2 linked regions of the Lonchura striata genome follow. The protein of the gene in region 1 interacts with the protein of each later gene in a pairwise test. Links are inferred from orthologs where the notes say so. Each region holds a gene or a part of one and is shown in the gene's direction. Other genes may lie near its edges.

Region 1 (15,415 bases):
TAGACAAAAATTAATCAGCACACTCTATTGCAATTGTTTGCATAGAAGGAAAAAATGGATTTTTTCCTGCTGCTTAACCTTTGCTTCATAGAATTGTAGGTATTGTTTAGATTAGAAAAAATTTTTTCAGCCTTTCAGAACACAGCTTTTTCTGTATGGTGTCAATCACTACCACCAGCAGCTGTTGTGACATCATCATATCTGACATCAGAAAAGGATAAAGTAAAAAAATTGAAATTAACTATGAAAAGCCAAAATTTCCCATACATTGAGTTCCCTTCCTAAATTTATCAGGGAATGGCTTTGAAGACTTCACAGTGATTCTAGGCTTTATATCTTGTGCATGTTATACTTGTCTGTGATATGCACTGGGAACACATGGATGAGCAGGAATGCATGTTTTCTTATTTCTAACTTGTTAAGCAAACATGTTTCATTTTGAAGGATATAAGCTGGAAGAAAGCTGCAGATTTGTAAAATGTGGATTTAAGATACTTCTTACTCAAAATAATGACACACTGTATATTTTAAAAAACTACACTTAATTGTTAGCACTTAATAATATGTGACATTATTTTCTAGTGAAGTACCTGATGCTCCTCTTAAGAAATTCAGTGTAATCAGAAAAGGCTGTTTCGTATAGCTTGAAATAAAAAAAAAAAATTAATAGGATTTGAATCCAAAATAGCATACATTCCCACTGCCTCCCTTCCAGCCTTTACTTATTTGCAGACTGGCTGATTTAGGTTAGGATTTGTGTTTGGTTCTTCTGTCTATCATCAGAGCTGACTTTATGGAAATGCAAAATAGGTGGTGGCCTATCCCAAAATTTGGGATGAGCCTCTAGGCCACACTTATAAACATTCACCACTCACCAGTAAAAATTACTGATTTTTAACATTGCAGAAGTATGTTAATACATTATTGGGAAATTAGGAAGTGAATGGGAAGGAATGCAAAAAGTATTCCTGCTTAACAGAAGAGGAAGAGACAAAAGCCAGTGTCCTGTATCTGAGTGGACTGTCACTAGTGTCCTTCAATGGTGCTGTGGCATCTTTTTCCTCAGTCTCATACAGCTCTTTGCAGGTAGCTCTGCTGCATGTTCCCCTCATGAGACATGAATTGCTTCTGTCACCCTGTGGAGAGGCTTTTGGTGTGTATTCCATGGGACCTGCCTACACCTCTGATAATGGAAAAAAAATATAATGAAAATGATTGGAAATGCATGCAGAAGGATAAAGTTCTTATCCTTTAGCTCTCTCTGGGAAGTTTGACAAAATAGATTTACATAATCCAAAGAATGTAACTGTATTTATATGTTCAGGAAATGCCAGTAATCTAAAGTATAGTGTTCGTGAATCAACTAATATGGACCATTGGTATAACAAAATAAAAAAGATGAAAAGACTAAATTGTTCTGCTAGAATTGTTCCCTCATAAAAGCTATTAAATATTACCAGAAACAAGTCTGTCCACAGGCTAAAAAGTGGCATTACCATTGAAACATCCTTTAAATTCACTAGTCAGTTACTAATAATCAATGAAATAACAAAGAACTGCTTCAGTATTTAATAATTATAAAATTGGTAATTTTAAATTGTTCATAATTAATTGGATAACCATAATAAAACATGAAAAATGGGACATGAATAATCTGTGGGTCAGTAAGAGTTATGTTCCCGCAAACTGAAAACATTTCCTGTTGGAAGTTGTGCATGACAAAGCTGTGTATCTATTTTTTAAAAATAGCAAGGTGAAATTATGATGAATATCTCCCTGGCTGTTCTTGAGAATGAAACTATTTATATTCAGGAAGGAAGGGATCAGATATGGCATTGTCACAAACAGAGGGAGTTCCTGATTGCCTCGAGCAAACATCAGCTCTGAGAGGAGCATGTGGGCTTCATGTGGCTGATCTTGGACATGGTGGCTTTTTGGGCTCTGCATGCATTCCTGGGGACTAAGTCTGGGACAGGTCTTCAAAACCTAGAGAGGTAACCTTGTTCCACTCACAAAATTCAGTGGGAAAAATGGGAGAAATTTGCCACTGAATTAATTTTCCTTAGTCTCTGTAGGTAGGTTTTTTTGTGGGAGGGCATGTTCTGACACCTTGTATATTTTTGTGGAAAATTGGTACTGCAAACTGCTGCTGTGATGGCTCTGCCATGAAGCTAAAATCTAGTCCTTTCATTGGCATCCATTTCAGGCAACACAACATATCTAAGAATTTCTGACTTAATGAAAGCAGACATCTTTCAGATAAGAAAATTTCACATATATGCAGATTAATAGGATCCTAGATAAATGCTAACCCTAGTCCACACTTTCATCCTCAGCTTTAGGATGCTTATAATATTAATGACATAATTAGAGGAGAGACAGGTGGCAAACCCTGTTATTAAGGTTGTCTGACATTTGCCATAGTCAAGGAAGGCAGCTGCTGAGCCCTGCAGCTGGCTGGCATTGTCCACTCCAGGATCCAGGTGTGTATCAAGCATGACTAAGCCAAGGAGGAATGGCCATTCCTTCCATGAATGGCCATCCAAGGTGGTGATGTACACATGACCACATGAATGCCTAGATTGTAGGGTTTTTCATACTATCTCTACCCTCCTCCTGCTCCTTCTTGTCATGCAAAGCTATGTAGACAAAATATGAGTAAATTCACAGTATTCACCTTCCAGGCTAAGAAGTGGTGTTATGGTAGGAATGCAGCATGAGTTATTTTTTGTAGGTTTTTTTTTTTTTACTGTTTAAAGGGTGCTGATATAAATGTGACATATTCCAGCAAGTTATGAAACACAATTTTTTTATAGACTGTACCTCCACAAATAGTTGTAGATAGGCAGACATAGCCAAATAGTAGCTGTATCCTGGTCTTGTTGATGCTGCTAGGAGAGTGAGCTGTTCAGTCACAGTACCAGCCTGTGGTGTTAATTCATTATGCCATACCATCCTCAACATTGACTCCACAGCATGAAGAAATTCACAGAAACATGCAAACACTGGAATAATTTTGTATTCAAATCTTTCCTCAAATGTCTTTTGCAGTGATGCTCATCAACAATTTAACAACAGCTGAGCTGCTGGTGAGCTGAAATAAGGATTTATGTTGCTGACCTGTGCAGTTTCCTTTAACTCCCCCCCAGCACTGTAGCCTGTTGTTTCTTGTCTTAGATTGTTAAGCTATCTGTCATATGGGTTGTGTTTTTCTCTATTTGCTTAGTGTCTGACACAATTTTGTCTGTTAGTAGAGCTCTTATGTGCTTATAATAACAGTAATAACAAATATGCTCATCTGGCCATGAAGACTGTGCAATAAGATTCTTGTTGTTTACTAAAAGGATCTGTTTTCCAAGAACCCTCATTTCATTTGTTTCAGCAACTGGAAAGTAGGAGTTGAAGGAAGAGAAATGAGATTTAAAGCACTTAACTTATTCCCTGGAGCAGTATGATCTATTCATGTCTTTGTCATAGCATGTTTTTGAAATGTAATGGTAAATTACTTAATACCTGGTATTTTCACTGATAATCATTAATACTGCATTTCCCATTTTTGGTATTTCTGACATGCAATTTGAGCCCATCTCTTTTAAATATAGGATATATGTGCCTAAAGTTAGAACTATGATTTGAGCCTAAACAGCACTGTGACTCAAAATTACTAAAATTAATGATCAATTTAGTCTTGCTAGGTGAGAGCACCCATATGGAAAATTCAAGTGACTCAATCTTCTAATTCCAAGAGTGGCTGTAAAAATTGATAAATACCTCTAGAACTATTCTTTGAGGTCCATTTTAAAGGACCTCATGTTGCTTTGAGGTCCATATTCAAGCTGAGGAAGCAATGTAGTAATTCTCTCTTCGGAGGAAAAAACTCCAGTAGTGGCTTCAAGCACTGCACAAGGGAGAAACAACCACATTTTGCTGTTTGCTCAGGAGGAATGAATTGTGTTTTACACAAACAATAAAATTAGTAAATGGCCCATATCCAGAATTTCAGCACCATCAGGTTGTGGGTCATTCTGTGCTGCAACAGAGCACAGAGGCTGTCCATGAACAACCACTGTCCTGTGCAGCAGGAGAACTCTTGGGACCAGACTCTGTTTTTCAATACACTTTTGTTACTGCAGTGTTTATTCTAGGCAAGCTCTGAAGTATACAAAATTATATCAAAGATAACTGAGCCATTCTGGAAGGAAAAAAACCCTTAAATTGTTACTTGCTTATTTGTTTAAGACACTCTGAATTCTTTTCTATGGTAGATTTTTCTATATTTGTTTGAATTTAGAAAAAAAAAGTTAAAAAGAGGGATGAAACCAAGTGAACAACCTCCTTTAAAAAGAAAACAAACTCTTAACAGTTAAATTCATTACTTTGGGTGTGACCCACTATATAGTTACAACTCCCTGACTAGTTTCCATGATCATGCATGATGAATTTGTCATAGGATATGATGTGAGCCGCATTCCTTGAAAATAGTGCTTTATCATTCAAACATCAATACCTCTAAATAGCTGGTTAGGGCAAATATTTCCATAATATTATAAAGAATATAAAGTTTATACTAGTACTGAAGGACAAGAGGAAATTTCTGTTTGCATTTCTTTCAGCTATAAGGACTTTATATTACTAACATGAACCTGAAAAGCAGGAAGGGTATCTTCAGGAGTCAGGAAATTGCAAAGCAAAGCTCGCTGCTCTAGTTTGGCACAGTGAGATTAATAACAAACAAAAATGTAGTTTTGTATTAAAGATGTTTATCATAGACCAAATAAGTCAAAGCCCAGCCTTCTGTCAAGCAGTGCCTAACAGTGATTTGAAGGTTATAAATATTTGAAAAAATAAGACTAACATCTTGAATGGCAGCTTTTAGCCATTTTCTTGATATCAAAGTTACTCCAGTTAATTTTCAAAGCCTAAGTCAGTCTCACAGACTTAGTACAGGTTAACTGTGACCAAGCTTCCCTTGTAGATCTTAAATGCTGCAACTGCTTCAAAGCTAAACTTTCTAATTCCTCTAAAATGATGGTAATTCTGCTGAAGTAGACAGGAGCCAGATTCCAGCCTGCAGAGCCACTCTGTCACCTGCTCTAGTACAGGAGTCACAAAGAACAATGTGCATCTCTTGTGCTGCACATCACAGGATGCTCCCTAGCCCTGCTAATGGGGCAGCATTTTCTATGGCCTCCCTGTGTTCATTGCTGTAGGGGAATGGTTTGAAATCCTGCTTCATGTTCTCCCAGATGTCTGGAACACTGTCTGCCAGACATGTTCTGCTGCACTCAGGGTCTCCAGCAGCCACCCTGTGGACTGGGTCACTGCCTCAGGTAATACACAAGAACTCAAAATTCTGGAATATATTAAAACTGGATATGCAAACAATTTAGAACTCTTTCCAACATGTCCTAAAGTACTGTACATATGCTAGACCTTTGTTTTTAATAATCTCTTCAGTAACCATTTTACCCAAAAATGTCTTTGCCACAACTGGGGGTGTGTGTGCTGTAGCTTACTTTCTAACCACTAAGAAATGCAAGTTTATGCTTGATAAGATTGTTTACAGTTCTGCTGTTCACATAACAGCTGCAGCAACAGGCAGAACCAGAAAAAGCTCTTACTTCATCCCCTAATTGGCAAGCTTCTGTCTAGGTAAGCCATACCTCTTGAAATATTCTGGATTTTCATGCTTTCCTTGTCTAGTTTTGGTGTTTACATATCAAACTGAGTTGTCAAATGTTTGTTATAGCTTCTTGGAAGCAGAAGACATAATGCAGTTGTAAAGGTTGCTTACAGGTAACTCCATAATAATATGTGCATTGGACTGCTTTCTTGGTATATCCCTGCCCCCCAACCTTTTATATTTATAATTTCTTTACATTAAAGTTGTTAAAGGGTGGGGATGTCCTACTTTTAGTAACACAGTAAGAGAGAAATATATGTCTAATTGAAATTATAAAATTGTGTAAAGGCCAAAAATGTAAATATATTCACATGAGATTTGTGTATTAGTCCTAACCCTGCTTTGTTTCTCTGTGTGTCACTTCTTCCATCTGCTCCTTTATGGCTCTTGGCTATGTGTCCAGACCTACCCAGTCCTACTTGTTAGTTTTATCTACTCTTATTTTCTTTGTTCTTCTCCCCTTTGATCATTTCCCCTGGTTGTATATCTAGAAATGTTTATTCTTTTCCTCCTATTTTTAGTTAATAAACAAACAGCTAAACAAAGATAGTAAGAACATTCTTCAGAATGTTTACAGACTTTTTCATAGTTAAGCCCCAAATATCATGCTTTCACTAATCATATTTTGGCCATAATTAAAATAAGTTTTGAAAGCCTACTGTAAACTCATTCATTCTATACCAGTTCAGACTGTAAAAAAATGTAAGCATTCAGTAAGTATACATTCCTCCATAACAAAATCCTGAGCAGCTTCATTTCCATCATGAACAAAGAACCTCATTAATTCTGGTTTCTACTAATTCTGTGAGTTCACAGAACCATGAATTTGTGTCATTTGCAACAAAATGAAACAAAATGTGTTTTGTGCCAATGAAAAAATCTTTCATGGAGAAGAGCAGCTTTGTGGGTTGGGTGTGTGGCTGCTGACAGCAGTACTATCAAAGCGTACCCCAGCTGAATTTATCTAGTTTTTTATTTCCTTACTCATATTTATTGTTATTAGCAAGACATGACACTTCATTACACTTCTTAAACAAGCCCTGTAAAATTGCTGGAAGATAAGAATATCAAAACAAAGACTTGACAAACACATTCATCCAATCCTGATGGGAAGAACAAACGATCTCCTGCTTAAGTTTTCCAGCACAATGCTGGAGGAATTTATTCTTTAAGTGTCCTGCTCATGTTTTTCAAAGCATTAAGCTTTGAACTATCTCTTATATTGCAGTAGTCTGATAAAGAATATGGTTAAAAAATACAGAAAGCTCTGATAATAGTAACCCAAATAGCAGTGGCAGAATTTGAGTTTCTATCTGTAATCTAAATAGATTCAGATCCTTAGAGTTCAGCACTGTGACTTAAATGCAACAGCAACTTTATTGGCAACTTGGTGACAACTGATTCTGACTGCACTAGCTTTAGGGCAAATATGGACTTTAGGAGGCATCCTTCCAGACAAGAGTCTTCAAATCCTGAAAAGTGTGGATATGTATCAGGAGCATTTAACCCAAAGAATCAGATGAAACATTTAAGTTTCCTTCTCAATAGTTGTATGGAATGTTGACATGTAATTAAAATGTGAATCTATTTAGGGATTTTGTCCATTACAAAAATCTCTTATGTATTTTACCAAATTATTTTTATTTGATTTATGTAGGTTTGTACAAGTCTGCATATGCTGTTTATCAGATTCACTACTTATTATTTTACAGCACTGTGAAGAGGAACTATTTTTTCCTGGCGCACTTGAGTCTTCATATGCAGGCACCACTTTAAGGCAGATAGATTCTGGAGTGGACTTCTGACACTTTGTAAACCTTTTGTTCTTTCAGACATCCTGTCTATTGTAGCAATAGCTCATTAAAGAATAGTTTCTTAATTCATCAAAAACCCCTGGCTTCCTATAGGAAGCAAAGCATTTATCACAAGATAATCTTCAACTGCTCTAGTACTTCACCAGATTTTAATCAGTGATTACCTTATAGAAGCATTCTTAACACCAGATTCCTAAGAATTGTCCTATCAGTTCTAATATAAGTGCATAAATGGAATGTATTTGAAAACTAGTCCACATAGGACATGACAAACTCCCTGTGCAGATATACCCATAACTGCCCTCTGGATCCATCTGTTGTGACCAGAAGTGTCAATGACCACATTCTACAATAGCAGTGTTCAAACCTGAAATGTTTCCTACTTGGTTGCTGAGAGCCTTTCAAGCAGCACTAAGAATATTTCACTATGCCTAGGTCTCCCATAAAAACAACTTTTTCTTCCTTTAATATTTCTAGTATAGGAATGGCAGAATTCTACCAGCTGTGTATTTGACAGATTGATACTAGAAATTACGACCGACTTTCAATTTGAAGAAAGTTAAAAACTCTATTTTTATCCACAGTGGGCAGAGAGGCTGCTACCATTTCCCACAAAAGACAGGATACGAAAAGAGTGGAGCAAGTCCAAATTTGAACTTCTTATATGGAAATATAAAGGCAGGTAATGATCAGAGTAAGCCAAGAAAAAACACAAGCTCCTTCTGATCTGTGAGGCAGTGAAAGCAGAATATTAATAATAATTTTAACAGAATTGGAAGGGAGTGGCAGAAAGCTGTACTATTCCTGGTGCCTGATCTGTTTATCTCTAACTGCACAGAGAGCATAGGCAACATGGGCATGGGCTGGGGGCAATGGGAAAACAGAGCCTGCCCCTGCATGTGCACGGTGATGGGAAGGAGCAGCAACTGCACAAGACAGAGAGGATGAAAAGTATGATTACTGAACTGTTGGAAATTTCATTTTATCTTCCCTGGAGTATAAGAAAATCCTGTTAAACCGTCAGTTTAAACCACACCAGCTTAATATTACCCATTAACTCAGGCCAGGCCTCTTGGCCAGCCCTGCCCAAGTCTTTCCACCATTCCCACCGTACCTATACGCGCACAGCCTCCATCCTGCACGCCGCACCGTGCATCCTGAATCCCGCACCGCCCATCCTGCATCCCCCCTCCCTGCACCGCCTGTCCCGCACCAGTCACCCCGCATCCCACATCCCATACCCCTCACCTCACATCCCACACCCCGCAACCCTCAGCCCACATCACTCACCCCATACCCCGCCTCCCACACCCCACACCCCTCACCCCGCATCCCACACCCCTCACCCCACATATCTCACCCCTCATCCTACATCCCTCACCCCACACCCCTCACCCCACATCCCGCACCCCTCACTCCCCACCCCTCACCCCGCATCCCTCACCCCACACCCCTCACCCCACACTCTGCATCTCACACCCCTCACCCCACATCCCTCACCCCTCACCCCACATCCTTCACCCCACACCCCTCACCCCTCACCCCTCACCCCTCACCCCACATCCCTCACCCCGCATCCCTCACCCCGCATCCCTCACCCCGCATCCCTCACCCCACACCCCGCACCCCTCACCCCGCATCCCTCACCGCGCACCCCACATCCCTCACCCCTCACCCTTCACCCCGCATCCCTCACTCCTCACCCCACATCCCTCACCCCACATCCCTCACTCCTCATCCCGCATCCCTCACCCCGCCTCCCTCACTCCACATCCCACATCCCTCACCCCTCACCCCACACCCCGCACCCCACACCCCTCACCCCTCACCCCACACCCTTCACCCCACATCCCACACCCCTCACCCCTCACCCCTCACCCCTCACCCCTCACCCGCACAGCACCGCAGCCGCCGCGCTCCCCGGCGCGGCCCCGCCCCGCAGCCCCTCGGGCGGGCGCGCAGGAACATGGCCGGGCAGGGCGGCAGCAGCGCTGGAGGCCGCGGCATTGTGGTAAATGCGGAGCGCGGCCCGGCTCGGCCCGGCCGCTCGACCCTCGCCGGCCGCGGTGCCTCCCCGGTCCCCGGCCCGCTTCCCCGATGTCCCCCGGCGCTTTGTGCTGAAGCTCCGCGCCCTTCCCTTCCCTTCCTTCCCCTCCTCCGGCCCCGGCCGGCGCCTGGGCCGCCTCCCCTCGCCCCGCGCCGCTCCCGCCGCGCCCGCGGCCCCGGCCCCGCTGCGGCCGCCGGAGCGGGACGGGCGGGCTGGGCTGAGCCGCGCCTTTGGCTTCCGCCGTGAAAACACGGCCCGGTGCCGCCGCGAGCGGCCCCGGGGCCGAGCCTGTGCCCGTCCAGGCTCCTTGAGCACCGGGGATGAGGCTCCTCGGTCATCCCGAGGTGTCTTGCTCCCACCGGAACTCTGCGAGGCCTCTGGGAGAGGGTTGGGCTGCCCGTGTTTTGCTGGGGTGGGAAATAGCCCGAGCCTTGGCATGCGCTTGAAATGTCTGTAGGGATGGATAAATGGTGCAAAAATGAATGAATGTGATCCTTATTCTGATAGACACACCAGATTCTCCTGTGAAGCAAATGCCATCACTGCCACCACCTTAGGTATGTTCTTATTTCAATGTGGCATTAGGATTTTAACAGAAAGTTCACGGGTCAGCTGCCCAGATCATGGCACAGGACGCTCTGTGTAGGCAGTGGTCACACTGTCCACTCCAACATCTCTTTCATCCCCCTCCTGAAGGACCTGTCTCCATGTATTCGAGCTCTGTCTGAAAACACCACACATCAGCCACATCTCCTGACACCTGTGTAATAAATTACATTCCTTAAGTGGGTGACTGTGCGTATCATCAAGCAACAGGAGGTTATTGCAAAGTCAGACATGAATGTGCATGACCATGTTCTGGTGCTCTGATTTAATATTTCTGCTCAACTCCCCAAAAACCCAACCAGCAATAAGTCCAGTGCAGCATTATTTAAGTTACAAAAGCTGGACTTTGCTTTATGCTTTTTGGAGCCGAGGACTGAGCTCAAACCTCACCTGTGCTCACTTTGCCAGACAAGAAAATGAGCAACATTCTTCTAAAGGTGTTGAATGTCTTCAGCTTGTCTCTTAGGCCTCAGGGGAAAGCTTTTGGATATTGCCATGTATTTATATTCCTCTTTGTATCCATTCACATCAACTTTTTAAAGACTTACTGAAGAATATCTGATGGGCTATTCAAACATGTGAAACCTGAACTTTAAAAGTAGGTCTTTATTTCACTGTAGGAATGTTTTACAGACAAATATGCCAATGTATTTAGAATATATATTTACTTATCCAGTTGAACACTGTTTTTTTTTCTGAAAACAATGAGACTTTTTTTCCTTCATTTTTAAATTCTCAAACAGAATAGTCATAAGAATTGACAGTTACTTGAAAATTGTCTTACAGCATAACACTGTGAATAGGTTTAGGATAAATGAGAATTTCCTAGACTTGTTGGGAAGTGCCTGTTTAAAAGAAAGAGGAATATGAAAAAGGCTTATTATATCAGACAAATAATTAATTTGAAAGTACATGTGAATTTCATCTTGTTTGTCAAATGCCAGCAAGCACTTGTAAACAAGAACTTCAATATTATTGTAGAGTTACACTATGTTCTGCTATTCTAGAAGGATAAATGGGAGAATGAAAATTTCATCCTGATCCTGTTTTATGAAGGACTTATTGTAGCCTAAGTAAAAGTTATTGGGTTGTATGAATTCTAAAGCAATTTTTATCCATTTAATTTGTTCTGCATCACACTGAAAACATGCAATTTGCCAAGAATGCAGAAGTAAGCAACGCTGACAGGGGTTGCTAGTGGGTGTTTGTAATACTTAATGAAATTGTTTCAGTTTGCATTAAAATGCTTTTGAACAGACCGTTCATTGCTACAAAATGTTTAAAAACTTCCAGCCTCCTCATGCACTGAAGAAGTAGATGGGAAAATAGTCTTTCCAGGCCGACTGCAGCAGTGTTTCTGGGGCAAGATTTTCTCTAATAGAAAGCTCGCCAAGGAGGATCTTTATAATCTCCTGTTTCTATGGAAATGAGGAACACAACTAAGTAACTTTTTATTCTTCTGTGTAGTTTCAAGGCTTGTGTAAGTCAGGGGAAAAGCTTTCATTGATTCCAGTGCTCTCCCAGTCATGCCCTTCATGGACTAATATTCAGTAGCCAACGAGTAATTTTTTTGATGCAGAAAATTTTGGGTAGAGTTAAGAAAATGTGCCAGTCAAGGAGCCTGTAACTGTCAATGAATATGAAAAAAAAGCCCCCAAGAAACTCAAAATCCATAAAGCAGAACAGTGTTTCAGTACAGCAAGAGGCAGGGCTGTGTCTGAGTTAAAGAAGAGGGGATGTGAAGGACAGCTCAACATCAAATATGTTATCTTAGCCAAAACTGTGAGGAACAATTTAGTGCTCTACTATAAAATGGTAAGGAGAGATTAATTTCAGTGATGGTCCTTTAAAGACTGTAGCAAAAATGCCACTAAGATATGCACTGCACAATGGCAAGTTTGCCTCCATTTCTCCTTATAATCAAGATTCCTGTAGCCAGGCTGTAGAAAATGTGTGACTTGAGGAATATGATTGTAAGGAAAACCTATTAGGTGTTGCTTTTTATCCTGAACCAGTATTGGAGCAAAGCTTTGCAATGATTTCAAGGTACCTTGTGAACCTGTCTTATCTGAAAGCCTTGTCTTTCATAAGGAATAGGGAAAATGTTTGTTTTGGAGTTTGTGTAGTTTTTGTGCTGGTGACTTTGCATTTCATAGCTTTCTGAAGCCTTCAACCGTTGGCTAATTTTTGACCTTCTTAATCTCTACCACTATTGTATGTTGTGAGATCTAATCTCTGTATTCTGATACTTACAAAACCAATGTATATTAAGTCTGTAAAATATTTTTTATGTAAATATATGGATTTACAGACTAGTTTCATAGTGAGGTGAGATGCAAACATTTTGTAATCACTCGTATTTGATGACATCTAAATTAACAACCTCACCTTTGACAAGAAGTACTGTTTTTCACTGATTTGTACAGATATCATCCATGAAACACATAAATTATTCTCTGAATGTGCTGTTTCATCTGTAGAATACTTACCTATTTATTTATAACTTTAAGTCATTCTAAACTAGAAATGCACAATTTTAATATAGAATTTTTTGTCTTTTATTCCAACATCTGAATGTCCCATTGGAAAATCTCTTCTTACTGGCACTATTATTTTTGCACTTTGAATTTGAAAGTACTTAGAAACTTATTTTTGCCACTAGTTTAGTATTAAATATTTCCTTTGTCTGTCTAGTTGTTTGTAATTTCAGGTGACATTTCCCACACTTTGTAGGGAGAAAGATGTAGCATTTGATTTCTGAGTTATACAGAGAAGCAAAATAATTAATGGGAAAAGCAAAATAGTAAATTGTAACTGGAAGAAGTTATGGCACACAATGAATTCATCCAATAGAGTGTACTAGAATGCTGATTTTGTATCAGTTACATAAGGTCAAACACCACGAAGTGTTCTTGACAGTACTATTTGATATTCAGATTTCAGACAATTGGCCTGGATACAGTCTGGATTTGTTCACTTACCCTCAACACTACTATGGTGACCTGGAATATGTGCTCATTCCTCATGGCATTATTGTTGACAGGTATGTGTTGCTTGAATGTTACTAAATAAATTGTTTGGTCAGTAGTATTATTCTTTTTTATAAAGGTGGTCATCCATATACCGTACATGTATGATTTTTGTAATAAAATAAGTTAAAAACTTGGATATTTTTATTTAGAAATTTAAATTAGTACATTTTTGTCTGTCCTGGACTGCCTACATTTTTAACATACAAAGTGGTCTTTGGAATTCCTGGAAATTTTAGCTGCAACCAATCTGAGGAACAATATAAAAAATAAAAATTAATCAAATAAATGTTTCTTAATGAGAGGTTTTCCCCATTCTCAGACTTGATAAAGATGATAAAAGACTATTTTATTAATCTTCAGTAAAGTAAGTGATCCTCATTTTTAAAACACTAAAAGGAATTATATATTTCAGATCAAATAAGATGATCTAATTTTTCTAATCTCTTCTATTTCTCATCTAAAATATGCTAATTATAGCCATATGGAATTTGCTACAGCATTAAAAATAAAATATGTGGAAATGAAGCAACAGCTGTTTCTCATACTTAATATATTATCTTCAGTCTAGAGCTTATTCTTCTCTGCTCCATGCACAGATTTCACTAAAGACCAATCAATGTACTTATGTAGCGGCAAATTGATTTCTGTATTGCAGTTGATAGAGAAATAAAGAAAACAACTAAACCTGAAAAATGTAATAATAAAATATATGGGATAAATTATGGGGTTATTTAATAAATTGTATCCTGTCAACAAGTCCACTCTTGTTGATACTACTAATCTAAGTCAGAGAGCTATAAAATAATTTTCCAGTGGAAGTGTTTACAGAATATAATTTGCTGAGCTGTTTTTCCTCAAAACATCAAATGACATTTTAAAGTTTCCTATTGATACTTCATTACATCTAGAAATGACCCAGTACCCTACTGGGGGTCTAGAAACACTATATTTAAAGTTAATATTATTTACATTTATTACTAAGATTAATATTTATTATTTTTATCTTAAAAATGTATGTAGCATTGCATGGCAGAAATGTGTACCCTTTGTTTCCAATCATCTGCCATATTGTGTTTGCCATACAGAATTGTCTGAAAGGACGGTTTTGTTTGGGAACCACACAATTCCAGGCTCACTGGGGCATTTGCTTGATTATTTTCCTGTGTGGGACCTTGAACAAGTCAGTGAAGCTCTTTGCACTCTTCATTTCTGCTGTACAAAGCAGTGACCTGTACAGAATAGTGATAATATACACTCTTTATAAGCTTTTCACTGATGCTCTATTTCATTCTAGTTTTTATGTATATTTTTCTTAAAACTGTAGGGGTAGCATCTTCCAAAGCCAATCAGCATGAAAGTTTCAGATATTTTCCCTATCTTCCACTTGTTCTTGTGCAGTAACTAACATAACAAGTTAGGGGTTTGTACAGGTATATTTTATACTGATAATTCCTGTGAGGTAAAATGGAAGGCTAGTTCACATTCTTTTCTCTGGAGTCTCTGACATATTTATGAGCCTAAAATATGCTGAGATGTGTAGGTCCTGTTTGTATAGCTGGGAAATTTATGCATTTAAGGTTAACTAGAATCAAGTGCTTTGCATATTACATCCATCACTTTGCTATCTGTGAGCTGGATCCAAACCCTATCAAGCACTGGAATGGACTGTCCTGGAAGGTGGTAGAGTCACCATTCCTGGAGGTGTTCAAGAAAAGACTGCACATGGCAGTTACTGTTATGGTCTGGCTGACGTTGTGGTGATCAGTCAAAGGGTGGGCTTAATGATCTTGAAGGTCTTTTCCAACCTAAATCACTCTGTGATTCTGTGAAGTCAGGCTACTTAAGCAATGCCAAGCAAGCTTTATAGTCATGATAGTGTTTGTAAAGCATACCATGAACTTAGAGCATCTGCATCTAAAGTTATTTTATCTCTAATTTTTTTTTTTGTGCAGGACAGAACGACTGGCGAAAGATATTATGCAAGACATTGGAGACAATGATATTGTGGTTCTCTGTGTCCTCAAAGGTGGCTACAAGTTCTGTGCTGATCTTGTGGAGCACATTAAAAATCTCAGCAGAAATTCAGAAAGGTTCATCTCCATGAAAGTCGATTTTGTTAGACTGAAAAGTTACCACGTAAGTCAACAACTGATTTATGTAGATTCTGGTTGAATGCCATAATAAATTATTGACTTTTGCATGTGAGTTCTCCACCTCCAATTATAAGAAAAAA
Region 2 (15,713 bases), on another chromosome or scaffold:
ACAAGCCCAAACTTACCACATTCAACAATGCTTCTAAACCTCAAGTCACATACAGGACCTATGCCATGAACCATAAATACTAGATGGTCAATTTGGGACATTTCTCCTGTAGAAAAAAAAAAAAAAAAAAAAAAAAAAAAAAAAAAAAAAAAAGGAAAACATTCAGAGTACCAATATGTACAGCAGGAGTGAAGTTCAGTGTCTAGCAAGTGTCATACACACTTGTTTAATAAAGTCTTTTACATAACATGGTTCAGGACATAACAGAGCCCACAGGACTCCTTTGATTAAAATACCCCAAAACCAGATAACCTCAGCAAACAGCTGAGATGAAGGAATAAATTTAACTTTTAGACTCCAGGTATGAACAGCACACAGCCACTCCACCCACTATTGTCCAGCTTCTGCACAGATCCAGACTGACTGCTCCCAGTGCAGACTGTCCGAAGTACACCAGGAATCTCATCACCTACCATCAGGAATCTCATCATGGTCATCATCAATTCCACGTTTCACTACCCTTGGCCTTGCCTGCCCATCTTGAGTGGTGCCCCATTCATCTGGTGTGGCAGAAGGCTGGAACTGAACTATGACCTGGAACAAATACAGTGTCAAATTCAAACCACAGTAAAACCTCATGACTCACACTGTTAAGTCTGAAAGCACTGCATGGTTGAACATACTTTTTGATTGCTTTACCTTGCATCTGAAAATCAAATGTTTTCTTCCACAAAATCCTCATTAGTGTGAAAAGAAAACAGATGACTCCAAGTAACCACTAGGTGAAGAAGCTGGGCCTGTTCAGTGATTCTAAACCATTTTAACTCCTCAGCCAAGCATTATTCAAGCTCCTCCTTCCTAGTCTCCAGTATCCACTCTTCCTTAGCAGATGACTGCTAATGTGAGGAAATTGAATGCTACCTGATTTATAGGTATTTTCTCCTACCACAAGGAGAAAATGGAAATAAATAAGTGCAGTGCTTTTCAGGGAAGAACAGCATCTGAAGTAGTCAAAAAAAACTGAAAAGTGAGTAATTCAGTAGTACAGTTGTTTATAGGACTTACAGTCTCAACTCATATTTATGACATCAAGTGGCTTAAATACTCCTTCTCTAGATTTTTAGTGGACAGAATTCCCTAACCAGGATTATTAAACACTTTAACTAGGAGCAACCATGATCCTTTCAGTCCCTTGGATAGGTCTGTGTATTAATTACTGTATCTGTGATAAGTGAACAGTTAACAGTATTGATCAATAAGGTTGAAGTCCATGAAGTCTCATGAAGAATATGAGACTGCTCACTTTTAAAGTTTGTCTTGCTATACTTTTTCATGGCCTACAAATAAGCAGAAACCTTCTCAGGCCCTAAAGAAACTACTTACCTTATAGCTAGATTAATGCTCTTCTCCATATGAAAGCTCTTTGTTTTAATTTCATTTGATATAGACTGAGGTTAAACTAATTCAAGTTGCTTACCATTTGCTGCCAGTTATCCTTAGCCAAAATATTTATTATGCAAACCCTTATTCTCTTTGGGTTTCAGAAAGCACTGTCTTTTAACCACATGACAGCACATTGAAGCAAGCACAAGTTTAGTGTTCTGTAAACTTGATCAACTTTAATGCACACACACCTAGAACAAACTGGTATGTTTCATGCAAGAGTAGGACCAATTCAATTTATGTTTCCATCCATTTGCTCACTCCCCCTTAATGAATCCCGTAAGACACAATTGCCAAAATCCATTACCTTTGGATTATGCATGACAATTGTCTCCCCATTTGGAAATTCAAGTCGCCGATGCCATTGATTTGTAGTTACAGCCCTTTTATATTCTGCCTGAAACAGAAAACAAGTTACACAAAATCAGCATGGCAACCTTCTCAGTATTTTGTAGCCTCATGTAATGCTACAGTTAAAATTTACATAACTTTCTTTATATAAAAATGTCACATGTAAAACTACTCAAGCAGATTTTTGTGGTATTCACATTCTCTAAACACAGAGAGACATGAGTCTCTCCCAGGAGTTTTCCTGGGAAGCTGTGAGATGCAGTGAGAAAGCTCAGAGAAAGAAAACAGTTCTTATCTCAATTCACTGCTCCTGTTTGGCACATGTGGAATGTGTTATGGAGATTGTTTACTTTAGAGTGATTTATTAATTGGACACCAGTGATGGTTGTTTGGATCAATTGGCCAATTGGAAAAAGCTGTGTCGTGGCTGTCTGGAGATAATCATGGGCTTTTCTTGAGTATATTTTTAGTATGATACAGTTCTAGTATAGTATAGTATTAATGTAATATAATGTAGCTTAATAAAAGCAATTAATTCAGCTTTCTGCAACATGGAGTCAGAGCACGTTATTCCCCATGCAGGGGGGTCACACTGTTTCAATAGATTTTAAGTCACAGCAATGCAGGACTGATGTGGGAGCAATGTGGCCTTCTAGTCACTCCTCTTTCCAGGATTTTCTTATGTTCCAGAAAGTGCACTCTGAAATTCATCTTCATGAAACAGAACTGTTTCTAAGGTGATGAACACAATGAACTCACAAGGTCTCTGCCACTTACGAACCTCCAACTTGTCACTGAAGTCCTCAGTGTAAGGGATGAAGCGGCTGTCCTTGTCTCCCTTGTAGAACCACAAGCAGCGCCTCACTTCCGAGGGCTCCTCGTCCCAGTACACGGCTTTCCTCATGCGCTCGTACAGGAACACGTCGTAGCGGCCGCCGTCCGTGCTCAGCACCACGCTCTCGGGGTCAGGCTGGACTGGGACACACAGCCAGGTGTGCTTACCACACTGACACAGCTCTGCCCTGTGCTCAGCACCACGCTCTCGGGGTCAGGCTGGACTGGGACACACAGCCAGATGTGCTTACCACACTGACACATCTCTGCTCTGTGCTCTTGGGGTCAGGCTGGGCTGGGACACACAGCCAGGTGTGCTTACCACACTGACACATCTCTGCTCTCTCAGCCCAGCCCCAGCCACTCCTGTGATCAATATGAGGCCATTAGGACTGACAGTCACACCATGGCAGAGAAGCTTTGTAACACTGTGATGCTTCTAGAATGTTCCCATATGCTCTGTACATAACAAAAAGCTTGGAAAAACTCCCAAATACTTATTCCAGAACTGACAAAGTTTAACAAAAATAACACCCAAGACACAAATAACAAAGAGCTCTATATGAAAATCTGATACTTATTTGGGATGGTACATCTCAACACTGAGATCACAGCATCAGGCAGTGATGTCAGTGAAATTAACTGGCACAAAACATTACTTATTACTGCCACACACAAGTGGCATTACCCCAACATTTTGCTTTAGTCCTTCTGCTCACCTCTGGATAAGACAGGACTTACCAGAATTATAGACCTCCTCTAGTTTTGCAGAATCCAGAATGCTGAATGGCATCCATATTTGCTTGTCCTCCACCTCCTTACAGTAGAACCAGTGGGGCTGAACTGGCTCATATTGGTTCTGCAGCAGCACAGGAGGGGCTGGGACCAGGGGCCCTGCAGGCCTGGCAGGCTGGAGCTGGGACTGGGACGGTGGAAACTGAAAAAAGACGGGCTCAGCCTCTCAGTCTCACAGGGTTTTTGCAGAACTCTTTTATACTTTACTATAGGAAATATTCTGAACCTTTATTTCTAACATGCTTTTCTCCCCAAGAACATTACCTTCCATTCTAAAAATATTCTCCACTTCATCATGTGTTTAAGAACTTACACCTTCTCAAATTGTGAAAGAACGTGAATTTCATTTCTATAAACACTGTTAAAAACTACCATGGTTTGGCATCATGATGACCTAAAATCAGTGAGATTTCAAATATTCTCTTAAATTTTCAAAAGAGCTGAACTTGTTTCTTACAACCACAAAATGTGACATGAAAATAAAAACATATTCTTCACATTGTTTATTTACACATAATTATGCTTTTGCATAAAGACTCCCAATTTTAACAAGTGGCCACTTCAGCTATAGCTCTCTTCCTGCAAAGTGACCCGAACAGGAAGATTCCACACTCAAATGTAGCACTGGTGGCACAAGAAAGGTAACTGATTTTGAAAGGGTCTGCAGCCTACATAAAGCTGATTTCATACAAATTGTACAAAAATCCCAGTCAGTACAACTAAATCAACTCATGTCAGCAGCAGCAACTGCACTGGTTGATAATACATTAAAAAGGGGAAAAAAAAAGGCACCAAAATATTTTATAATATATAAAATCCAATACATAGAAGTTCTGAAATTATACATTAGAAGGGGAAAAAAAGGGCAGGAAAGTATTGTAGAATATATAAAATCCAATAAATAGAAGTTCTGAAATTATACAATCTAAAACTCCAGACTGTTTAGGTTCTACTGCCTTTGCTATGCTTTGTCATTATATAACCTTCACATTCTTCATTAACAATAACAGATATACAATAATAGCTCAGGCAAAAATAAAAACAGTTTTTGGTATCTTCAAGGCAAACGTGCCAGGTTTTATTAACCCATTGGCATTACTTTAATAATGCTTTTGTGCAGGTAGAAAACAATGAAGATTATCGCTTTATATCACACAAAATCCTCAACCGATGTGTTTCAAAGAATTTGCTGACAATTTTATGTGATTTAGTTTGAAAAAATTCTGCCTTCACCAACAAAACCAGCTTAAAAAGAGATTTCAGACCATATCTTTGAAATGGCTGAATGACCTGATTTAAAGCTGAGGCACAAAAAATGCAGCAACACAGCTGAAACTCAGCAAACTCAGAAATCCACAGAAAAGTGCCAGAGAACTTCACAACCTGGCTTTGTTTCTGATGCCCAGAGGCTGACAGAGCTACAGCCTCAGGATACACTCACTTCAAAGATCAGGAAGTTTTCCTGCAACAACAGTTCCAAGCTACTTCTAGTGAAAAGCTTTTGCTGTTGTAAACGGTTCAAGACTTCTTCTGGGTTTTTTTGCAGAGAAGAAAAATCTTCAAAAGATTAAATACACAGCTGAAAGAGGAAAGTGCCTTGTTTTGCTGTGGCAGCTGGAAGGAGTCACGTACCTGTGTCAGCGGCCCCGGGGGTGTCTGGTACATCTGCACAGGTGGCACAGGGGATGCTGTGGCAGGGGGATGGCTCTGCTGCAGCTGGGGAGGGGTGAGGTAGGGGTTGGCCCTGCTGCTCAGGGTGGTGTGCCTGTAGGGGTTGTAGCCCTGCTGCTGCGGGGTCCCTGTGGGCAGGGCAGCGCTGGCAGGTGGGGGACAGCTCTGCTGAGGGGGCTGGTACGGCGCCATTCCCACCTGGGAAGGGGGTGGTGCACTGTAAGACTGGGATTTGGGAATATGTGGTGAAAAGGCATTTTGCCCATCCTGGGACCCAGACACGAGTGGAAGTGAAGTGGGAGGTCTGGAGAAGGCTGGTGCTCCAACAGGTGTTGAAACAGTTGTTAAGGGTGGCTGTCCTATACTCCCAAAGGGATCACTGCTGCTGGGAACTTGAGAGAAGTAGCTGAAAGTCTGTGGAGGGTTGGGGCTGGCTGATGTCTGACCCAAGAAGCTGTCCTCTTCCCCAACATCTGCAGAATCATCTGCAAAAACAAAAGGATCACCAGAGATCTTGTGAGAGCTTCAAATCACTGTATGGGGTCAAAATGTTCTGCAACACCATCAGCTATGGCCAAAACTGTTGGGCTCCATAACATTTACCCATCCTTGATTCAGCACATCATAAAATGAAACAAAAGATACCAAGTCTTCAAGAACATTTAAAATGGACCATGAAAGTCACTCAGTGTACACAGAAAAAGCAACAAATATTATATAAGAAACCAAAATATAACTGGAGTCAGGACTTTCCCAGGGCAATTTGACAGGCACTAAAATCCCTACTTCACTTATCCCTCAAATGCAAGAACAACCTCGGTTTATATCCTTTCAACATGAAAACAGCTACTAAGCATAGGACTTTAGGCTCCTATTTTTAGGATAGAGCTTAAAAACATTCCTAAATAGGCCAACCTTACAGGTTAAACCATCCATTCTTGCCTGCTCCTTCAGCAGAGCCCTCTCAAGGTTTCTCATCTGTTTGCAAAGTGGCCATAACTCATGATCCCAAGCCACTTAATGAGCAGGACTTAGTCCAGTTCGCTCTAAAAATCCTACTCTAGACTTGCATAAAAGCCACATCTCTCATGCAGAAAAATCATTCTGCATAATTGCAAGAGAGGATTTAAAAATATGCAAGGCCATGAATGCCCCTTCACATGGAGAAAATAAGTAAAAGAACTCCTGACCAATCACAGTTTTCTACTTTGCGGTGACCTAGGAACAAGTGGGAACAAAGGAGGTTTGTCATGATTTGAGGTCTCACAGCAAGCTCACCTCAGGCTGGGATGCCTCCTGAGGGAACAGCACCTTGCAAGGAGTCAGTGCCATCTGCAGAAACCAGCAGTGTTTCAACTGTCTGGCAATCAAATGATGCCAGGCTGCGGGGGAGACACCACAGAGCATCTCTGCTGCTCAGTGCCCAGGCAGAGAGACCAAGAGTCTCTGCAGCTGCGAGCAGCCAACAACAAATGCCTTTATCCACAGCCAACACAACTGTAATAGGGAGCATCAAGGGAGTACAGGGGAATCCATGGAGAAGTCTCCCTAGGAAGCTGCTGTTCTAATTAATTAATCATAAAAGAGGCAGCTGCCAAGATTAAAAAGAACTATTTTAACCACCTTTTATTTAGTCTGTACAGACGGTGTCATCACCTGCCTCAAATACCTCTTGCTTTCCCTTCCAGCACTTGATCCCACTTTGAGGAACAAAGCCAAAATCTCTGTGTGGAGAATACTGAAACCACTTATACCCAGTGACCACTCTGAAGTCAGGCCTGGGGATCATTTCCCAGCTGCAAGCATAAGGCATTTATACTAAATAAAAGGTCTCAGCATACTAAGTAAAGGTCTTTCACATTTCATAAACAGTGTGGGACAGAGAGAATCACACTGCAAACCATGCTGTCAACTCTCAGCTTTCCCAAACAACTGGCAGCAGAGCAGGCCCTTCACCTCGCCGTGTCAGGCCACCACAAACATGCAGCAGTGTGCCCAAGAGCTCTCAGGGCCTTCAGCAAATGAATATTCACAAAGCACCCACTATTCTCCAGTTCCAAATAGGTTTTGGAGATTTAAGCCTAAGTGCAGCTTTCCTTGCAAAATGAGGATGACAAAAGCTCTGCCTAAAAAACCCCTATAAGTACATATATGCACACACATGCAGTTTTCCAACACAAAAAGTTACTGTTGATCTGGACTTTTTCTAATTTTGCAAAAACTACGCTGTAAAAACAAGCACGTCATACAAATGTTTAAAAATGGGTGTATAGCTTTGATGTGTTCTCCCCGTGCACAGAACAGCCTTTCTTCACCTGTGAGTGTGCCAACCTCCTGTACATCCCTCCCCACACGAGGCAGAACTTTGTCATTCACAGACTGTCACCACACAACCACAAGTGACATCAGTCCACGTTGTCACTGGGATCACTCCTCCCACCTTACAGTAAATATATTGATTACATCACCCACACCTGAGCCAGAGAATGCATCTTATTGTCAAACTGCATAGCTCACACCACTAACTAATCACTCTTGGAGACAGATAAACAAATGAATGCCTGCACACAGCTCCCTAATCTTGGCTGTCAGGTGTCAAACAAATCCCTGGATTGATTCTTACTACATTTACACAATTAAAAATCATGACTACAAATACAAAATATTCCACTCAGCAAGAAGATCCCAACAGCACCTGGCTAGACAGATGGTGAGTACACTTGACTGTGGAAACAGAACATTTAACAGGACATGGGCCTTACTTGGACTGACACTGAAATTCACTCCACCTGCAAGACCATGAATCCTCACCTGATCAAATTTTAAGTTACACGGAGAGAATAAGATTCACCACGTTAATCAAATCCCATCAGATTTTATCCTCGGCTGACTTCAAAATGTTCAGGAAATTGCCAGGACAGCCATTTGCATAAAGCTACTAGCTAGATCAGCACTTAAAAATTGTTCTATTTTCTTAATGAAAATATAATGTGTATTTGCATGAAAGAAAAACTATAATGCTTGTACAAAGGAATTAGTAAATGTATCAACTACCTAGATACTTCAAGTAAGTAGAAATAATCTTTTAATGCTTTTATCCCTCCTATCCAAAAAATGTAGTCGATCCAAAAAAACTATTCCAAAGCCATAACTGGCAAACGTTTTATTAAATCTACAGAGAAGTACTACACTGGTTGCCAGCCATATTAATTCTTATTTCAGCTAAGATACAACAGTTGAAATGAAGTCTTGAAGACTCAGCATAAAACAGTTTGGGTTAAAAGAGACCTTCAGAGGTCATTAGTCCAATCCCAACACGTACAATACAGTAAAATTTCAAATATCTTGTTTCTAGATGCATTCTAATGTTTCAAGCTTTAATCTCTGACTGAATACATTCCCAAAAAAATCCATTCCTTTATCTGAAACTGCCTGAACACCAGATTGTAAATTGCACGCGCATGTGTTGGGAACACCATTAAAGCTTTAGGAGAAAAGGATATTAGAACCAGGATTAAATTAGCAAGGATATTTAAGGCGGCTGCTTAAGGTACTATTTTCAAACCCGGAAAACAGAAGATAACGTGAGAGAGGAGCTTAAAAAACGCGGAAACATTCAGTACGTGCTGAATGGAAGCACCGACACCTCGGAAGCGCGACGATCAGCGCCCGTCCTCAGGCACAGCGCTAAATCCACACACACACACGCATCAAGCGGGGGAAGCAGAAGAAATTAAGTGCCGGAAAGCGGCACTGGGGGCACTTCGGCTCTGGGGACTCTCCCGGCCCTTCCCTTTGCCGGCGGGACCCCGCACATCCCCCGCGCTCCCGGTTGCGCTCCTTCCCCGCCTCCCTCTCTCTCCGTACCGGCGGGCAGCAGCGCGGGGCCGGGCGGCGCGGCCGGCGCTTGGCTGACGGGGATGAAGGGCACGTTGAAGCTGAACTCGGTGGCGGAGGAGGAGAAGAGCAGGTTGGTGCCGGTGCCTCCCCCGGGCTTCGCCGCCGCCATGGCCGCGCCCCGGCCACGTCCCGGCCGCGGCCCCTTCCGCCCGCACCCAAGATGGCGGCGGCGGCCGCGCGCAGCCGTGAGGGGCGGGCGGGAGGCGGGCGCGGCCGCCATTCCCGCAGGAAGAGGAGGAGGGAGGAGGAAGCGGCGGCGATCCCCGCGCTGGGCTGGCGGGAGGGACTCGGCGGCCGCAGGGTGCCGGCAGCCCCGCGGGGCACCCCGCCATGCCGTGCGTGGGCGACTGGCTGAACAGCCCCCTGAGCATCGTGCAGGGCATCTTCGGTGAGGCAGGGCGGGAGCGCCCGGAACCGGAGAACCGGAGGGCGCTTTCCCTCGTGGGGTGGTGGCGGGGCAGATTCTCTGTCTTATGTCGTGTATGTCTTATATACAGCGTGTTTTGCGTTCTCCGTGTATCTCTGGGTTCTGCAGCAAGGCGCGCTGTCTGCCCTGATGTTACCAGCGCGGTCAGCCGCGGCTCTGGCCGTGCTGGGCTTGATCTTCACTAAAACAACACCGACATAAAAATTCCCGCAGCCGACAGAGCGCGGAAAGCGGAGCCTGGGCTCCTGCCCTTCCCCGCTGGGGCGATGCGGAGCTTTCCCTCGCTCCCAGGAATGGCTCTGTGCTTCTTGGTTGGCCTTAAAGGCTTTGAAATGGGAAGTCAGTGACTTGCAAGGGGAGTAAATTAGTCTAAGCTGCACTTCCGTAAAATAAAAGTGAAAGTTGGGTTTGTTCGATATGCTGGGTAAAAGTCTCTTATGTGGTGGTAATGGGCACATCGATATGGTTTTGGTTTTTTTTGTAGCCCAAAATGCTCCGAACTCTGACTGGGAGAAGAAGGTAACCGAATACTTCAAGGAGAAATTAAAAGAAAACAATGCTACTAACTGGGTGAGAGTGTTTTATTCTTTTCGAGTTACACTTTTTTTAAGCTTCGTTGTTTATTATTACACTTTATTGCAGTGGCTTGCTTTTGATAAGTCCTGCTTTTTCGTGATAAGCGTGCAGCTGAATTTCAGGCCCAGGCTTTGGGATGTGGAATTGCACCTCGGCTGCTTTAACCTGAGTGTAAAGCCAGGATGTGAAATCCCAGCCCACCCATGCCCTTGCCTTCAGCACCCTCCTTCCCCCAGGCCATTGCTGCTGCCACTCTGGAGCACAGTCAGTAGATGGCAGGCGATGACAAATATTGTCATTTTTGGGGAAGTGCGAGTCCTCGCTGTGCACCACCAGCTGCTGGTTATGAACCTCTTGTCTCAGGAGCTTTTATCACAATGCTGCACACTTGTGTGGGTTGAATAAATAGTTGTCTGGACCTTCAGGTTTTAAGGAAAAAATGCTTTTCCTACTAAAACTGTGCTGGGTCAGGCCTGGTTTGTGCAGTTTAGCCGGGAAGATGTGCTTTAGGTTTTAAAAATAAAGTGTGAACAGTGGAGTTCAAAAGCTGATACTTTCCTAAAAGGCTGTAGCAGAAATGGCATAATGGGACTGATAAGGGGATTAGAAGCTTTCATATCAAATCTGTTCTACCTATGACTAAAACCAGGTGAAAATTGTTGGTTTTATTTCTCTGTCAGTGAAAGTATTGTGTACTTAGTATTAAATGGTGGCTTAAATCAAAGCTACCATTAATAAATGGCAAAATTGAGTAAAATTTACCACATCAGAAGGAATTGAAATCATATTTTCTTACTCAAAAAATACCGTGAGGCAATATACTTTTGTTAAAATGCCACTTCCTATAGGGCCACTTTTGTTGCATTTTAATGTTGGATGTGGGCTTTTTCAACAAAGATTTTCTCTTCAAATTTAGAAAACTCTATTCATATTACAAGTCTTGCTCTTTGAAGTTGTACCACGTGCTTAGGCGTTGATTTTTTTTTTTCCCTTCTATTTTCCCATTGTCATGTAAAACTGTGTGAAAAAGACTTCCCCAATGTTGACTTGGAAATTAACATACAGGTTTTCCAGGACCTTTTGTTATAGGCAATTGTGCATGCAAATTGTTCTAGTACTGCTGGTACACAGCACGAGGTGGAAGTGCTGTTAAGTAGAAATAAGATAAGTGAAAAATTCTGTTTAATCCTGCAGCTGCAATAATTCGAAATTGAAAACTTGGTTTCAAATGTTGTACAGTTTTCATACAGTTCCAGTGACCTGTAACAGCTTCTTTTATAGGAAGATGTTCTTTCAGTATTTGGAACTGGAAGAATTTGGGAACTGTTAATTCTGTTAACTTCCTGATAATTGTAACAGCCATTGCAGGAAGGTGTTGGGATAGAAACATTTTGTTGGTGCTAAGATTAGGATGGGAGATGCACTCAGAAAATACTAAGTGTGATATATATATATATATATATATATGTGTGTGTGTGTATAGGGGTTTGAGGAGGAGGATGGTCAAAGAATTAAGTTTTACTGCTGGTTTTGGCTCACTTTTTTTGCCTCAATATATACCAGTTGCATAGAAAAATCTCTTTTTTCTCAGGTCCCATCACTGAATGATGTTCCTGTACATTACCTAAAACCCAACAGCTTAGTGAAATTTCGCTGCATGGTTCAAGATATGTTTGATCCTGAGTTTTACATGGGAGTGTATGAAACAGTTGACCCAAACACAAATGCACGTGTAAGTGAAATACTGAGTTACTATTTTAGCAAATATTTGTCATTTTACTTATTCTGGTCCTTGTATTTCTGTAGTTTGTGAGTTAAACCTATGGAGTGTGGACACTGACTGTAACTGTGTTCAGCTCAAGTGGCATCAGTAAAAAATAACCTGCTACATTTCTGTTGAATAGAAAATGTTAAAGTGATGAAAGGTTTGGCAGGATGTCTGTGAGGGACTTTGGGCTTCAGTGATTTTGGTGTGATTCATATTCCGGATGCTGTCAGAAACAGAATGATTGCATTGCTTTTTCCCTCTTGACAGGTTTTGCATTTTGGTAAATACAGAGATGTGGCAGAATGTGGGGTAAGTTATAAAAATTATATGAACTTAAAGAACAAATATTGGGTGGAAAGTTGTAGTTTTGTAAGTGTGACAGAGCTTCTTTGGTACTTGACAGTGAAGTTGCTGCTCTAAATGCAAAGTTAATCTTTGGGTTGGAAAGCAGAGTATTCATAACTGCTCACTGGCATTAATTTCAGTGGGCTTCCAGCTGTTTCTCTTGTATTTAAAATTTGTTTTGGTTGAGTGGAAGGGGGAGTGCCCATGACCTTGAAACTGCCTGCTGTGGAAAACAGTTACTTTTGGTAGTGCAGTACAATTTGAATCAAAACATTATATATTCATATTTCCTGAGTTATGTAGTCTTACATGTTAATTGTAACTTCTGGCTGATTAACTGAATCTGTGGGGTTAGTTTAAAAAAGGAAAACAAATTGCAATCAGATTTTTAACAAAATTTCTCTTGGGATTCCAGCCTCAGCAGGAACTTGATTTGAACTCCTCACAAACAGTCACCTCAGAGAGACAAACTTTCTACTGTGTTCCAGTGCCTGGTGAATCAGCATGGGTGAAAGAAATATCTTTTTTTGACTAAGCCAGTGTTTTGTTATACAATCAGTGGTCACCAACTAATTAATTAGATTTAGGAGATAAAGTTATTTAAAACTTCTTTTTTTCTTTTAGTGAATCTGGAGAGGTGATAGGTGTAGAAAGAGGAAAAAAGGAAAGTTGATGGCGTGTAATATACACAAAGAGGATGCAAATTGATTTAGGAGCATTAGTTTTGATTCCATAGATGTTTTTGCTTGGGAAAGTCTTGAAAATTTCTGTTCATTTCTAGTTGCTAATGCTTAGGAAAAGGGAAATTTTAATTGAGCCATTGGCATTTTCTGCAGCAGGACACTGTTTCACAGTAAGAGTCTCCTATAAAACACCTGTAACTGAGCGTGTTAAGATTAGGATTTTGTTAAAAAAACCAACAACTAAACCTTAGTGTGGTTGAGGTTTCCCTGCTCAGCCTGTGGCTTCCTTAACCCTCGATCCCAGGCCTACATCAGTGCCAGCCATGCCCGAGTGAGCCCCTCCACCTCCTACACCCCCAGTCGGCACAAGAGGAGCTATGAGGAGGATGAGGACATGGATCTGCATCCCTCCAAACAGAAGGAGCAACACATGGGTAAGAGCTGCTGGTGGTGAATAGTTGTTCTGATATCTCTCCAGGATTTGGCAAAAATTCATTGCTAAAAACAGATATTTTGCCAGCTGTTTTCATTGTTATTGTTGTTGCAGCCTTTAGGATTTGGAGGCTTTGTTGAAGTCAGTGGTTTGATTTGAAGGAGTGTGGGAGAGCCCATAGTGTTGTATGTGTGTTGTGTGACTTGCTGACAATCTACAGAAATGTTTAATATAAACTGCGTTTTATGCATATTCTTACCTGTTTTTTTTAAATATGAAATGCAGAAAAATATTACCTTTGCAGTCCTGTCGACTGTAGAAAAAAAAAAATTGCCTGGTTTAAACACTGCAGAAAAAAATTTCTTTGACAATCAGGTTTCTGTCCATGACACATAGATCTTTGCCAGTACTCTCTCCCACACTTAACTTGATTACATAAAATATGCACTTGTGAGACTTCTCATATCAAGAGTATATTCTGTCAGGAATATTGCATTATTAAATATTCTTGTCTCAGATGTTTTCTTAAATTAGTTTTACTCTGTGTTGCTTACTAAAGAAAGTTGTTCAGCTCTGCATTTCTGTTTTTAAGCCTGTAAATCCTGTGTTTTTCAGGCAGTGGAAGTGATATCCATGGATGTGTGGAGCCAAAGAGATTAGAAACAGAAGCTTCTGCAGGTCATCATGTCATTTCTCCCAACTGCTCCCCTCCACTTGACCTAAATTTTCCTTTGCCAGGAGAGAAGGGACCAGCATGTCTTGTAAAGGTGAGAGATGGAGAGGTGATGAGCAGGGCTGGGGTCTCTGTGAGGCAGGCAGAATCAGCCTTGCACTGGTTTGTAGGCACAGAAATGTGTCTGGAGTCCAGAATTTTGTTTCCAGAGATAATTACATTCTTTCTCTTCACTAACACAGTGTTTCTCTTCTTGAGTGCTGCATTTGAATTGCTGAAATCCTTCAGCAGCATTTATTAGAGCTTGCACCTTCTCACCCCACTTAGTTTAAAAGGAAAGATTCCAGGGTGCAGCTGGTATTTAGCCCTGGTATTTAATTGAAAAACAGCTGTGAAAAACCAAGCTGAAAAACCAATAAACTACACATTGGTGTATTGAATTTGAAATAGTCCTTGATTCACTGCTATGTTATATTACTATGAAACTTTACACAAACTTGCTCTGCTATTGCTGTATTGACTTCTCTCTTACTCTGTAAATCTTGATGAATCAGAGTAGAATACAATTGTTGGCACTCATGTGGCAAAAAATGCCAATAGAAAAAGTGTGGAGTCATAACACTCCCTTTTCCAGTGTAAGCTCACTGACACTGAGGGCAAGGGGACACCTCTTCACTCAGACTGTTCTCAGTCCAGAGTTGAGATTCCTGAATTTCCTGTCCGACAGTTTTTCTGCTGTCCTGCATCTGGCCCATCTGCCTCAGCATTTTATTTTCTGTTTGGGGCAGGTCTATGAGAGCTGGGAGAGCTTCAAAGTCAATGATGTGCTGGAGGTGTTTGGTGTTCTGTCTGTGGACCCAGTGCTGAGCATAGTGAACAGTGAAGAGAGGTAAGGCTGTGCTGGAATTCAGGTTTTTATTGCAGTGAGCAGACAAGGAAATGTGGAAGTACATGATAATTATGCTTAAGAAGTGAATTTTGTTGCTTTAAAATAGCTTGATGAGGAAAGTGTTATATCCAGCATCCTGGAAACTGAAGTCCAATGTGCTCTGGTACATCCATATCCTTGGATACCCAGTGCATCTTTTTTTAGGTTGTACACTCTTGTAAAGCAGAAAATGCTTCTATAGCTAAATGTTTTGTACTCTTTCATGTGTACAACATTTTCAGTGAATGAGTGAATAGTGAACAAATATTTCAAGGAAGCTTTAAAATTATAAATGTCCTTTTGGAGTAATTTCAAAGTCCATGAAGGTTGTTACCAGAAAAGTAAACACTCTGAAGAATATAAGAAAAAAATGTTTGCATGTCTGCATGTACAGTGATAGTAACCAAAATGAGTAAAAAATGGGTTGATTTCTCTATAATCCCATCTTCTTAATCCACTGATAGAAACTTCCCATTTCACCTGCTGTTCTGCAATTCCATGCCTGACAGAATACAAAATCATTTAGGATGCAAGAAGTCAATTGTGAAAAGAAAACTCTTTACCAAAATTTAACATAAATACTGCTGATGTACCACTACACTCTGAATTATTTCTGTTGGTGAGTCTGTTCATCTGTCTAGCAAGTACAATACCCAGAGTGCAATGTGAATCCTTTACAATGCCAACTTCTTAAAAATTACCTCAGCCTGGTCAGCTGCTTTTTGTTATCATCTGTGTGACAGCTAATCCCAGACTGACAGCTCAGTTGCACTGTCACAGGTGCTTGTGGGTTTTGTCCTGTGTCATTCTATAACAAGACAAAATGGTGGCATTTAGCAACATTTTGAATGCAAACAAAACAAATCTCTTTGAATGCAAAGAGTGG

What was found.
Region 2: the proteins of PRTFDC1 (region 1) and MCMBP interact in binary tests that used the Homo sapiens proteins (3 or more experiments, as listed by UniProt). The two-hybrid records come from large-scale screens. The link is inferred for Lonchura striata from reciprocal best matches to the Homo sapiens genes PRTFDC1 and MCMBP.

What each region holds. Positions count from the first base shown.
Region 1 is NC_134603.1:139,824,922-139,840,336, reverse strand, and holds the start of PRTFDC1 (phosphoribosyltransferase domain-containing protein 1), read left to right. Parts: upstream 1-9,434; 5' UTR 9,435-9,463; coding exon 9,464-9,508; intron 9,509-13,086; coding exon 13,087-13,193; intron 13,194-15,134; coding exon 15,135-15,318; intron 15,319-15,415. UniProt on the Homo sapiens protein: Has low, barely detectable phosphoribosyltransferase activity (in vitro). Binds GMP, IMP and alpha-D-5-phosphoribosyl 1-pyrophosphate (PRPP). Is not expected to contribute to purine metabolism or GMP salvage.
Region 2 is NC_134609.1:27,492,414-27,508,126, reverse strand, and holds the start of MCMBP (mini-chromosome maintenance complex-binding protein), read left to right. Parts: upstream 1-9,214; 5' UTR 9,215-9,324; coding exon 9,325-9,382; intron 9,383-9,905; coding exon 9,906-9,991; intron 9,992-11,588; coding exon 11,589-11,729; intron 11,730-12,032; coding exon 12,033-12,074; intron 12,075-12,525; coding exon 12,526-12,627; intron 12,628-13,097; coding exon 13,098-13,227; intron 13,228-13,841; coding exon 13,842-13,993; intron 13,994-14,687; coding exon 14,688-14,788; intron 14,789-15,713. Other genes in the region: SEC23IP (SEC23-interacting protein), read right to left, coding at 17-106, 474-594, 1,751-1,840, 2,576-2,769, 3,370-3,565, 5,056-5,579, 8,962-9,103. UniProt on the Homo sapiens protein: Associated component of the MCM complex that acts as a regulator of DNA replication.